3 linked regions of the Danio rerio genome follow. The protein of the gene in region 2 purifies or fractionates together with the protein of the main gene of each other region. This does not show direct contact. Links are inferred from orthologs where the notes say so. Each region holds a gene or a part of one and is shown on either strand. Other genes may lie near its edges.

Region 1 (3,658 bases), on a different chromosome or scaffold from region 2:
TAGTCTACAAAACAAACCATCATTATATAATAACTTGCTCAATTACCCTAACCTGCATAGTTACAATTATCAACCTAATTAAGCCTTTAAATGTCACTTTAAGCTGTATAGAAGTGTCTTGAAAAATATCTAGTTAAATATTATTTACTGGCATCATGGCAAAGATAAAATAAATCAGTTATTAAAGAGGAGTTATTAAAACTATTATGTTTAGAAATGTGTTGAAAAAATCTGCTCTCAGTTAAACAGAAATTGGGGGGAAAATAAACAGGGGGCGATATTTATTTAATGTGATGTGAATTAATAATTTAAAAGGAGAAAATTTTCTTTGAGGCTTGTGTAATTATAGAAAATGTATGCTTATATGCTGTTCTGCAATTCAGTGCATAATCATGGAACCGTTTCCTAAAATTAAATTCACATATCTGTGAAAAATCAAAGTAGAGTATACTTTCAGGTCAGCAATGTCATTTAGTTAAAAAAAAACGCTGCACACCTACACATATGCGGTCCAGTATGATTATCATCAAGTTCTCACACATACAGACTGAACATATAACCGATATGCAAGTGATGTGACCATTATCCTTAAATCACATTTTTGTAGTTTATGTAGTGGAAACAATTACGCTTTTGTTTTTATAAATCTGCACTTTGAAACCGGCTTTCAAAAGCCTGCATTATTGGGCCTCCAAATCACGGTTGTGGAGTACATAAATGAGCAAAACACATGAGATTTAAAAAAATAAATAAAAAAATAAACACCACGAAATTAAATATGAAACGAACTATACCAAAAAGGAGAGGGCAGCACAGTGGCGCAGTGGTCAGCACTGATAAATTATAGACTAAGCCGGAGAAAAATGAACTAATGAACAAAAAGGGAGACAAGTACATAACAGCATAAACACATCCTCACCTAACATTTTGCTGACGTAAGGCTCAATGTCTACGTCCTGCAGATGCTGGAAGGTGTGAGCATGGAATAGGCGAAGCGTTGAGTCCAGCCGGATGGACACCCAGATCCCGTCACCCACCCAGGCCAGCTGACGCACCTGACTCTCCTTACGCGGATGGGCATCAAAAGACCTCTGTTTTCACATACAAACACAAAGGCCCTGATTACATCTGCTATTAAGAAGCGTTGATAACAAGTAGATGACGGAGGTACATTCCCATTGGTTTGCTATGAGAGAATGATGCGTATAAACAAAGTCCCGGCCCTTACTCAATACTCCGTTTCACTTGAAAGGACATCAACATACTGACATAAGGGTCTCAGGAACTTCACACAGACTTTAGGCATGCTGAGGAAACCACATTTAAATGTAATTAAACAATTTTAAGACTACTGAAGACTAAAACATAATGCTGAACCTCGATTTTCATAGCTTTGGGCTGAATGATGTAGATCTTGTTCCTGTAGCCGCACCACACTTTATCGTGAACCACAGTCATGCAGCGGATTGAGTGATGCGGCCGGCCCAGGTCCAGAAGATGGTAGTTGGTTAAATCCCACTGGCTGTCTGTAAAAGTACATGGAATGTGGCTTTATATTTCATCATTTGAAGCTGGAACGAGTATCTGAACTATCAGTTAAATAAAACTTGTGCCTTACCAAGACCTCTATGGAAGATGGCCAGTGTCCCGTCAGCTAGAGCCACCAAAACACGGCCTTTCACATGTCTATGCAAAGAAATACTATCAAATATTACCAGTTCTTAAGTATACTCACATTTACTCCTGTAAGACCAAGATGGTAACACTTTAAAATATTGTATTTACTAACATGAACAAACTACTACATTTACATTTAGTCATTTAGCAGACGCTTTTATTCAAAGCGACTTACAAATGAGGACAAGGAAGCAATTTACACAACTATAAGAGCAACAATGAATAAGTGCTATAGGCAAGCTTCAGGTCTGTAAAATCTAAGAAGGAAAGCATTAGTAAAAAAAATGTTTTTTTTGTTTTTTTAGTACAGTTAGTGGTATATCCAGAGTGGCAATTGCAGATTAGGAAGTGAAGTGGAGACTAAATAGTTGAGTTTTTAGTCGTTTCTTGAAGACAGCGAGTGACTCTGTCGTTCTGATGCAGTTAGGGAGTTCATTCCACCAATAAGGCAGATTGAACGCGAGCGTTCAGGAAAGTGATTTCTAATAATAGTAGTAATACATTTGCAATAACTAATGTTAACAAGCACAACGTTAGATTTTATTGCTTTAGTTGATGTTGGACTACGATTAATAAATGCTTTACATAATTATTCAAACTAAGGCTCCAGTGTCATCCAACTTTCTTTGGCGACAAAACATTTGCTATACCTAGAGGAGTAAAACTAAACATCATGAACTCTCCTTTATTCTCATGCTCTGAAATTGTTGTATAGAAAACTTATCATTTAAGGTGCTTTCACACCTACAGTTTTGCTTCGGAACCTGTCTTTTTTGCCCAGTATGCGCGGTTCGTTTGGCATATGTAAAACCACCAATCGCTCTCGGATCCGCGCCAAATCAATCGTTCCGAGATCGCTTGAAGGAGGTGGTCTCGGCTCGATTGAAACAAACCCTGGAATGGATCGATTGCAGTGAGAAAGCGATCCGATCCGAGCGCGGTTATATTACTTTGTTTTATGGATATGTAATAGGCATAGGGCTATATGAAGAGAGAATTATGAGTAGGGCGGGAAGTTTCCCCAGTCTCCGGAAGCCCACAAACAATCTCGCGTCTCCCTCCCGGTCCTCAAAAAGGGTACTTCGCGCACCCTTCTCACCGCATCTCTCCTCACTCTTCAGACGTCGCACGTACCTTGTCAAACACCACCAATCCACACCCTCTCCTGGCAGCTGAGCGGGACTCTGCAAAAAAAACCTGAAACTCTGACCAATGTGAGGAGAGTTTACTCGCACGTGACTTGTTTTAGCTCTTTTGGTCCGATTAGAAACTTTGCAGTGTGAAAGCAAACCACACCAAGAGCAACAGTGTAACAATTTCAATCCCTGTTTCGGAACAACTGAATCAATTCACAGGTGTGAAAGCACCCTTATAGTGTTTGATATTTTTTAATTAGTGTGTCAATAAATGTTATATTTTAGTATTTTTATTAGTCAATTATTTTTTGAGTGTGTGTTTGACGCATTTCAGGGACTTGTGCTGCAATACTCTGTCCTGTCAAATTTTAACTAAACTAAACAAAACTAAACCAAAGACTATAGAATACAGATGACGTGTCACTCATATACTTTTGAATAGGGAAAAGTGCAACTGTCAATATGGCGAATGAAGCCCCGCCTTTAGTACAGGAGCCAATCAGCGATCACTATAGAATGACAATTCTCCGGGGGAGGGGTTTGGACCAAATGTGAGTTTCTGCAGATTTTGTGTGATAAGAACATTTAGGAATGAAACTAAAATGACAATTGTTGTTTTATTTTATTGGTTATTCGTAATATGAAATATAATCATTAGCTTGGCAAGTAATTTTGGAGAATTTGATGTTTCCCCATTCAAACAGAATGCCCAAGCATACAGAGCATGCTGCCTGAGAGACGTTACAAAGATGACTGCCGAGTAAAATAACTTGCCTTAAAGGGACTTTGAATAAACCTAATGTTAGTAAATTCATTAACCAATGAATCATTGTTTTAAACTCTTA
Region 2 (4,370 bases):
CCAGAAAAAATGGAATCAGATCACGCTCAGAAATAAATAATAATCAAATTCAGATAAAAACTTTATAAAACCCATTTAGAAATTTGAACAGATGTGAAACCAGGTCACTTATAAGAATAAATGAAATAATAAATTAAATCTGATTTAACTTCTGTTCTTCAAAAACTATTTTTTAAATATTGCATTTTAATCTGAATCATCTTTCTGAATCAGATCAGACTTAGAAAAAGTTGATTCAGATCAGATTTGAGAGATTTAGATTAAAAAGCAATATTAAATTTGATTATGAAGAAGAACAAATATTAAATCAGATTACACAGAAAATTATATCAGATTCAGACACATTAAACATGACAAATTTAGATAAAAACTCACTATTATAGATTCTGAATGAGAATAAAAGACATTTAAGCAGATATGATGACTTAACAAGCAGATTGTGACTACAAATCAAATAAAATCAGATTCAGAAATTATTTGATAGATTTATATTAAGCCACATTAGTATTGTTTTTATTCATACCTGATATTACATCAGATATTACAACAGGTTCCGTTCAGATTAGATTCAGACATGTAAATTTGATAATAAATACCCAGTAATTAATTTTAGAATCAGATTCAGACCAGAAATAAAACTCAAAATGACAAAATATACAGATAAGTACGGGACATGAACCAGACATAACAGATTAGGATTCAAATTCAACATTAAATCAGATTAATGTAAGAAATGAAATCACATTTCACAAGTTCAGATAAGACGGATTAATTCAGATCTATCAGATTCAGATCAGAAACTAGCTAAGACTAGCACTACCCTAGCACACATCACGCACTCCCCTCAAAACCTTTATCAAAGTAAATTAACAAACGCAAAATCTCAGCACACTTGAAAAAGAGATAGCAAACAAACGTTTTATACAGTAAGAGACATCTTTAACACATTTTGAACACATTTAAGTGAGATTAATCTGAAGTGTGCACCTGTAAACTGAACTCATGCTCGCAGCCGGTGACTTTAAACCACTTTATTATTTCTACACAATAAACGCTCACCTGGCGCTCCAAAGCTGCTGAAGCCGAAGCCTCAATATTGATCTCGTGGTAAGCGAAGTGAAATCAGTGTAAATGTCAGTTTTTGTGTTTTATTTACAGTGGTTACGGACGCCGTTATTGACAGCAGCCCTCAGATCCGCCATAGAAACAAAGTGAAGCAGGAAACGCGACGCGCTTCCTTCTAATGGCTTCAGAGCAGATGTCAAAATTAAAGTTTTAAATAAGGTAAATAATATAATATAATATAATATAATATAATATAATATAATATAATATAATATAATATAATATAATATAATATAATATAATATAATATAAAAGTATGATTAATTCTATGTCATTATTATTATCGATTGTATTTTATTTCTAAACGTATTTCATTTACACTTTTATTTTGACAGCAGACATCGGTTTGGCTTCCTCACAACTTTTCGTGCACAAAAGCAACTGACAGTTCTTTGTGTTGACCAAAGTAAGTCAATGAGTTGGTTTGGCTTTGGGTTTAATGGTTTTGGTCAGATCAGTCGGGCAGATGTGAGCGGACAGGTGAAGTGTAAAGTGAACTCACCTGTGCTGATATCAGATGATGAGTGTAAATCAGGTGTGAACAGATCAGACCGCAGAATCAGAGCCTGCTGGAGCTCCAGAGCTGATCTTCAGCAAACACAATGTAAGTCAAACACAAGGGGCAAACCTATTTTCTCTGACAGATGTTTTTTTTTTTTTTTTTTTTTTTTTTTTTTACTTAGTTTTTATATAATATAATTTACACAAACTACATCTAATCTGTAATACAGTTGTTTACACTAATATGTCTATATTTATAAATAATGTATGATGGTAAATCATACTAAACCTTTACTAATTTAGGACCGTTAGGATTACCTTAATGATTTACATTTGCTAAATGCCAGAATAATGAGAGAATTTGTTTTGCATTTTGTTTTTTTGAGATTTTTTTTAATTAATTTCTAGACAGTCAAAAGTTTACACACATTTCCTTGGTATTTTTTTTTATCTTTGCTTTTAAACTATAACTGGTCAAGTGTTTTGGGTCTCCTTCCACAAGCTTCTCACAGTAGTTAGCAGGAATTTTGGCCCATTCCTCCTGACAGAATTGGTGTAACTGAGTGAGATTTGTTGGCTGTCTCGCTCGCACAAGCTTTTCAACTCTGCCCACAAATTTTCTATAGGATTGAGTTCAGGGCTTTGTGATGGCCACTCCAAAACATTCACTCTGTTGTCCTTAAAGCACATTTGAACTAATTTGGCAGTATGCTTAGGGTCATGGTCTGTTTGAAAGACCCATTTGTGGCCAAGTTTGAATTTCCTGGCTGATGTCTTGAGATGTTGCTTCAGTATTTCTACATAATGTTGTTTCTTCATGATGCCATCTATGCTGTGAAGTGGACCAGTCCCCTCTGCAGCAAAACAGCCCCACAACATGATGCTGCCGCCCCCATGCTTCACAGTTGGGATGGTGTTCCTAGGCTTGTGCGCTTTCCCCTTTGTCCTCCAAATGTAACACTGGTCATTATGGCCAAACAGTTCAATCTTAGCTCCATCAGAGCAGAGGACATGTCTCCAAACATTAGTCTTTTCCCAGTGTAATTTAGCTAATTGTAATCTGGCTTTTGTTGTTGATTCTGGCTTGTTGATTTTCCCATGTCGTCACACAAGGAAGCAGTGTGTTTGAGCTTTTCCTTCAATACTATTCTACAGTTGTGCCTCCAATAAACTCAAATGTTGTCAATTAGCCAATCAGAAACTTCCAAAACCTTGATACCATCATCTGAGCTTTTTCAGAGGCAGAATAATCTGATTGTGTGTAAACTTGACTTTCAAGAAAAGTTATAACAATTTCTCAAACAATCTCTCTTTATGTGCCTTTTTATAGTGCATGTAAACTTCTGCTCTCAACTGTACTGTAATTTTTGTGGACTTTTTATTTTACTATATTATATAAATTGTGTATATAATTCAAACGTCTAGTTTACAAAATTGCAATATAATTTAAGTAATCCAACAATGTGACCACAAAAAAAACTTGTCAACTTTTTGTAAAATGTTTTTTAAACTCCACGTGTGTATATATATATATATATATATATATATATATATATATATATATATATATATATATATATATATATATATATATATATATTATATTTATTTATATATATATATATTTATATTATATATTTATTTATATATATATATATATATATATATATATATATTATATATTTATTTATATATATATTTATTTATATTATATATTTATTTATATATATATATATATATATTTATTTATATATTTATATATATATATATTTTTTTTTATTTATATGGCAAAGATAAAATAAATCAGAGAAGTTATTAAAACTATTATGATTAGAAATGTGTTGAAAACATAATCTCTCCATTAAACAGAATTTGGGGAAATAAATTAACAGGGGGGCTAATAATTCTGACTTCAACTGTATATATACACACAGACACATATATTTATAAATATAAACACAGAAATAAATAAATAAATAAATATGCTGTTGTTTGTGTTTCAGCTGGCAGTGGTGTATATTTGTCAGGGTGTGTGTGTGGACCGTCAGCTCAGGTGTGTGTGAGTCAGGGCTGCACAGACGCTCTCATCAGCGAAACACACCTGACGCTCAGCTTCACAGACAGAGTGGAATTATGGGAAATAAAACCGCAGCAAAACCAGCTGGTGTGGAAGAGGGAGCACGAGCTCTCAGGTAAAACTGCTGATATACTGGTGTCTGTTATTGCTGTGAGAATTCTGTGTGTTTTATCTAAATCAGAAAGAGCTTTATTGCCAGGTATGTTCACATAGTATGCTGTTAAATAAGTGTATATGTGTATAGCAAGTAGTCACAATTTCCATCAAGTGTTCATGAGATGGATTGCCTAAGGGGAAGAAACTGTTTGTGTATTAGGGTGCTCTGAAGCGTCGACTAGAAGGTAACAGTTCAAAGAGGCAGTGTGCTGGGTGTGAGGGGTCCAGAGGGATTTTGGCAGCCTTTCTGCTCGCTCTGGATAAGCAGAGTTCTTTGAGTGTAGGGAAGGTTGTACCAGTGATTTGCTCAGCAGTCCAAACTAATCAATGTAGTCTTCAGAGGTCAGATTTGGTAGTTGAGCTAAACCAAACAGTTATTGAAGAAATGGTGGTGATGATATTGAGTGTTTCAGCAGAACACACTGCCGCTCTGCCGCTGGTGTCCGGCGGCTTCGTCCAACACAAACCTCCTTTCTTCCATCCTCTGAAACTGTGTGCTGTGAGTCTAGTG
Region 3 (3,315 bases), on a different chromosome or scaffold from region 2:
CGACAGCTGCGCACCTTCAGCAAACCTCCAAATTCCTGCAGCTTAATAGTTGTTTATGAGCGCCAAAAGTGGCAGATCTGTTCAGCGAAATATTTGACTGCATGTCACCGCATCCCAAACAATATAACTGAAGAAATGTCCACTGTGCTGAGCGAGAGCGCTTACTGAACACCACACACCACAGCATCGATGATGTAATCGTGCCCAGGACCGAATGTAATGTGAGTGCGGGCCGTCGGGGGAGATGGGAGTGGCGACAAGCGTGCTTTGGCCCGGTTCAAGGCAACTATACCACCTAAGGTGCGTTTTGCATTCACACACACAAGCGTACCGCGCCAAAGCCCAAATAAACCCACCTCTGGCCCACCTCGTCCAACCAGGCCAGGACCGGCCAAGTGAACCGTGTCTGAGCCCGATTCAGAGCACTCACACTTCTTAAACAATACGGGAAACAGGCCTGGGCACGGTTCGGATAGCATAGTGTGAATAGGCCGTAGATTACATACCACCAGTACGATATTAATAGAATATTACACATGTATTTTGAAAAAGTGATGCAAGTGCTGAGAAGTGGGTCATCGTGAAAAAACTAAAACTAAGACTTGAACACAGACAAGCACACACAAACTGAGAATGCTGGTTTATTCAGTACAAATCAGGACCACCAAAAGCTGACAGAAAAGCTGAGCTCTAGGGATCGCACATAATGCCAGTGCTGTAGTGGGATGAAGAGGACGTCCCCAGGACAGAGAACACACTCCTCATAAGAGGCTCTACTGAAATCTGGAAACTTCACCAGGTCTGGATTCTCCACCTCCACCTGGTGGGGGAAAACAAACTGTTTGTTTTTTAAAAGTTTTATAATGTACAACAATGCACAGTGTAAATAGTTTTTTTAAGTTACACTAACAGGGGTAAAAAGGCAGATTTTATGCCTTTTAATGAGTTAATTGAAGTACAGTATGAAAAAGATTCAAAATAACACTACAGTAATCACAATTAGTGTTTCATTTGCAAAGTTATCTGCGTTTATCGGCTCCTGATAATTTTATAAATAAGTATTGCATGCAAAATCAACTAAATTTGTCAATTTTGAAACTCAAAGATTGCCTAATTGTTTTTCATTATTTTTATAATTGTTACTGTAATGTTGGCGTCTATGTTTAAATAACAATATAAACAACATCTTCTACCTGACTGGTGTTATGGAGTAGCTGCGACTCGTGTGGATACAGACTTTTTGTTTCCTCTGGGCTGTAAAGCCGGATGTATTTTCGTCCAACCACCTGACATTCAAAAACAAAGCCATAATGCCATCAAAGGGGGGGGGGGGGGGGGGGGGGACCATCAAACTGCCTTGCCTCTCAAATGCCAGACGAACCATTTGGCTCACGTTTACCTGTGCCAAAAAATTCTGTTGAGGATCCTGATGAAGAGGAGAGACAGTCCCTCCAGGCCCAAACCAGGCATTGATTGTAATGTCATCCTCATCTCCCTCTCCAAGACAACAATAGTCTGGGATACGAATGTCTTCTTTCAGCTCTGGAACCTATGAATGAAAAATCGGTGAATGGTAGCCAATGTTACTGCTATTGTATCTGCATGATGTTACAAGTCAAATGCTACAAATAAACGTACACACTAAAATAAAGGTGATTCAATGCAATTTGTTTATTGTCATGTGCACAGTAAGGAAACATGCTTCCCTGTACAATGAAATTCTTACTTTGCCGTCCACAGTGAAGTCATACACGACATACACATATGTACACAGAAGTGACGGAAATGTAACTATGAAATGTAAATATATAAATATGTCTGAATGTAAACAATATATAATACTGATTGTGGAGTAATATAAACAGATGTATGCAATGTATAGTCTTAAAATTATGCTTATTATGCAAAAAGTGCCAAGTGCAATTGACTTATGTATATTTATGAGATTTATTTTAATCCATGCGCTTTTCCTCTTAACTAATAGTTTTTCATAGTGGAAACAGAGTCTTTAGATTGTTAAAATCTTCTTATTGGTACCCATAATGATTCTATGCCATCACCGTAAATATAAAAAAAAGTCTTGTAAACATTTATTTTTAAAAGTGAAGAACCATTTTCAGCAATGTTATTAAAGGACACCTATTTTACCCTCCTTTTTCATATTTGATATAAGTCTTTTGTGTCCCCAGAATGTGTCTGTAAAGTTTCAGCTCAAAACACCCTTCAGATTATTTAATATACCTTTTTAAATCTGGGACATTTGGACATTGTAGCTGTTTTTGTTGACTGTGCCTTTAACGCAAAAAAGCTGGTTCTCCGTGGCCATCAATAGTTATGTTTCCATCCAAAAATGCGAATAAACTTTATGCGCAAAACTGGATTATCGCATAAAAGTTGTGCGAATGAAGCATCGTTTCCATCCAACGAGTCAAAGCGAACAAAATCGTCACTTCCTGATTAACTGGCGCCAAATATCAACAGTAAAAACTGCATTTGCTGCAGTAGGAGAAGCTGCATCAATCTTTTCTAAATGAATGCGCCTCAGAAGACAATCCTGACAAGAAGTGAGCGCGCAGTGGCGTTTGAAAGTGTCAGACGCGGAGCACAGGCGCTCTTGATTCTGGAGGTCATTAATAATATAATAACATTAATACTGAAATGGTAAGGCGTTTTATAATGATCAAAACAACATTTCAGATGTTTTATAATGTGCTCAGCCTGACGTTTTATCCATTCACACACATTTTAAGCATCACGTGATCTCTTTTGACAAAATCACATGACCTTTTTTAATGCGCATGCTGGAGCTTGTGCGGTAAAAGTGTTTCCATCGCAGTTTATGCACATTTTTTCTTATCGAATAAAAAGTTTATTCTATCCAGTTAGTTTGTTGCGCATTTTTTTATGCGCATTTGCAAAATAAAATAAACAATTGCATAAAATAGGTGGATAAAAAAACATAGCTACTGTGCGTGCCATAGCTGCAGAGATCTCGCCGATGTGTGTAGCCTTTACATAGATAAACACCATAGTGACAGACAGGAATGAAGTAGATCTCCCTTACTACAGTAGGAACGTTCCCAACTGTTATTTGATATATTTGTTGTGGAGTTAATTCAAGCCTTTCTGCAATGATGAGTCTCACAATAAGTGCATGCAAACACCCCACGTTTATCTTTGCACTGTTTTTGTACGACAAATGTGACAGGATATACATTAATTTATGGACATCCGTTATGTTAATGTACAAAATAAACCTGATTTAAGTTCACAAACTGGGATTTGAAGCGTTTTCTTTTATAATTGTACTGACAT

Evidence for each region.
Region 1: the proteins of rccd1 (region 2) and spag9a purify together in Homo sapiens (affinity purification with mass spectrometry; 3 studies listed by BioGRID and IntAct, counting the BioPlex papers as one, with this or other methods). This does not show direct contact. The link is inferred for Danio rerio from reciprocal best matches to the Homo sapiens genes RCCD1 and SPAG9.
Region 3: the proteins of rccd1 (region 2) and kdm8 purify together in Homo sapiens (co-immunoprecipitation; 3 studies listed by BioGRID and IntAct, counting the BioPlex papers as one, with this or other methods). This does not show direct contact. The link is inferred for Danio rerio from reciprocal best matches to the Homo sapiens genes RCCD1 and KDM8.

Annotation. Positions count from the first base shown.
Region 1 is NC_133178.1:17,102,851-17,106,508, forward strand, and holds part of spag9a (sperm associated antigen 9a), read right to left. Parts: intron 1,687-3,658; coding exon 1,619-1,686; intron 1,527-1,618; coding exon 1,378-1,526; intron 1,092-1,377; coding exon 920-1,091; intron 1-919. UniProt on the Homo sapiens protein: The JNK-interacting protein (JIP) group of scaffold proteins selectively mediates JNK signaling by aggregating specific components of the MAPK cascade to form a functional JNK signaling module.
Region 2 is NC_133200.1:3,812,426-3,816,795, forward strand, and holds the start of rccd1 (RCC1 domain-containing protein 1), read left to right. Parts: upstream 1-1,473; 5' UTR 1,474-1,539; coding exon 1,540-1,729; intron 1,730-3,629; coding exon 3,630-3,818; intron 3,819-4,272; coding exon 4,273-4,370. UniProt on the Homo sapiens protein: Plays a role in transcriptional repression of satellite repeats, possibly by regulating H3K36 methylation levels in centromeric regions together with KDM8.
Region 3 is NC_133178.1:43,226,646-43,229,960, forward strand, and holds the end of kdm8 (lysine-specific demethylase 8), read right to left. Parts: intron 1,550-3,315; coding exon 1,400-1,549; intron 1,287-1,399; coding exon 1,194-1,286; intron 821-1,193; coding exon 656-820; 3' UTR 626-655; downstream 1-625. UniProt on the Homo sapiens protein: Bifunctional enzyme that acts both as an endopeptidase and 2-oxoglutarate-dependent monooxygenase.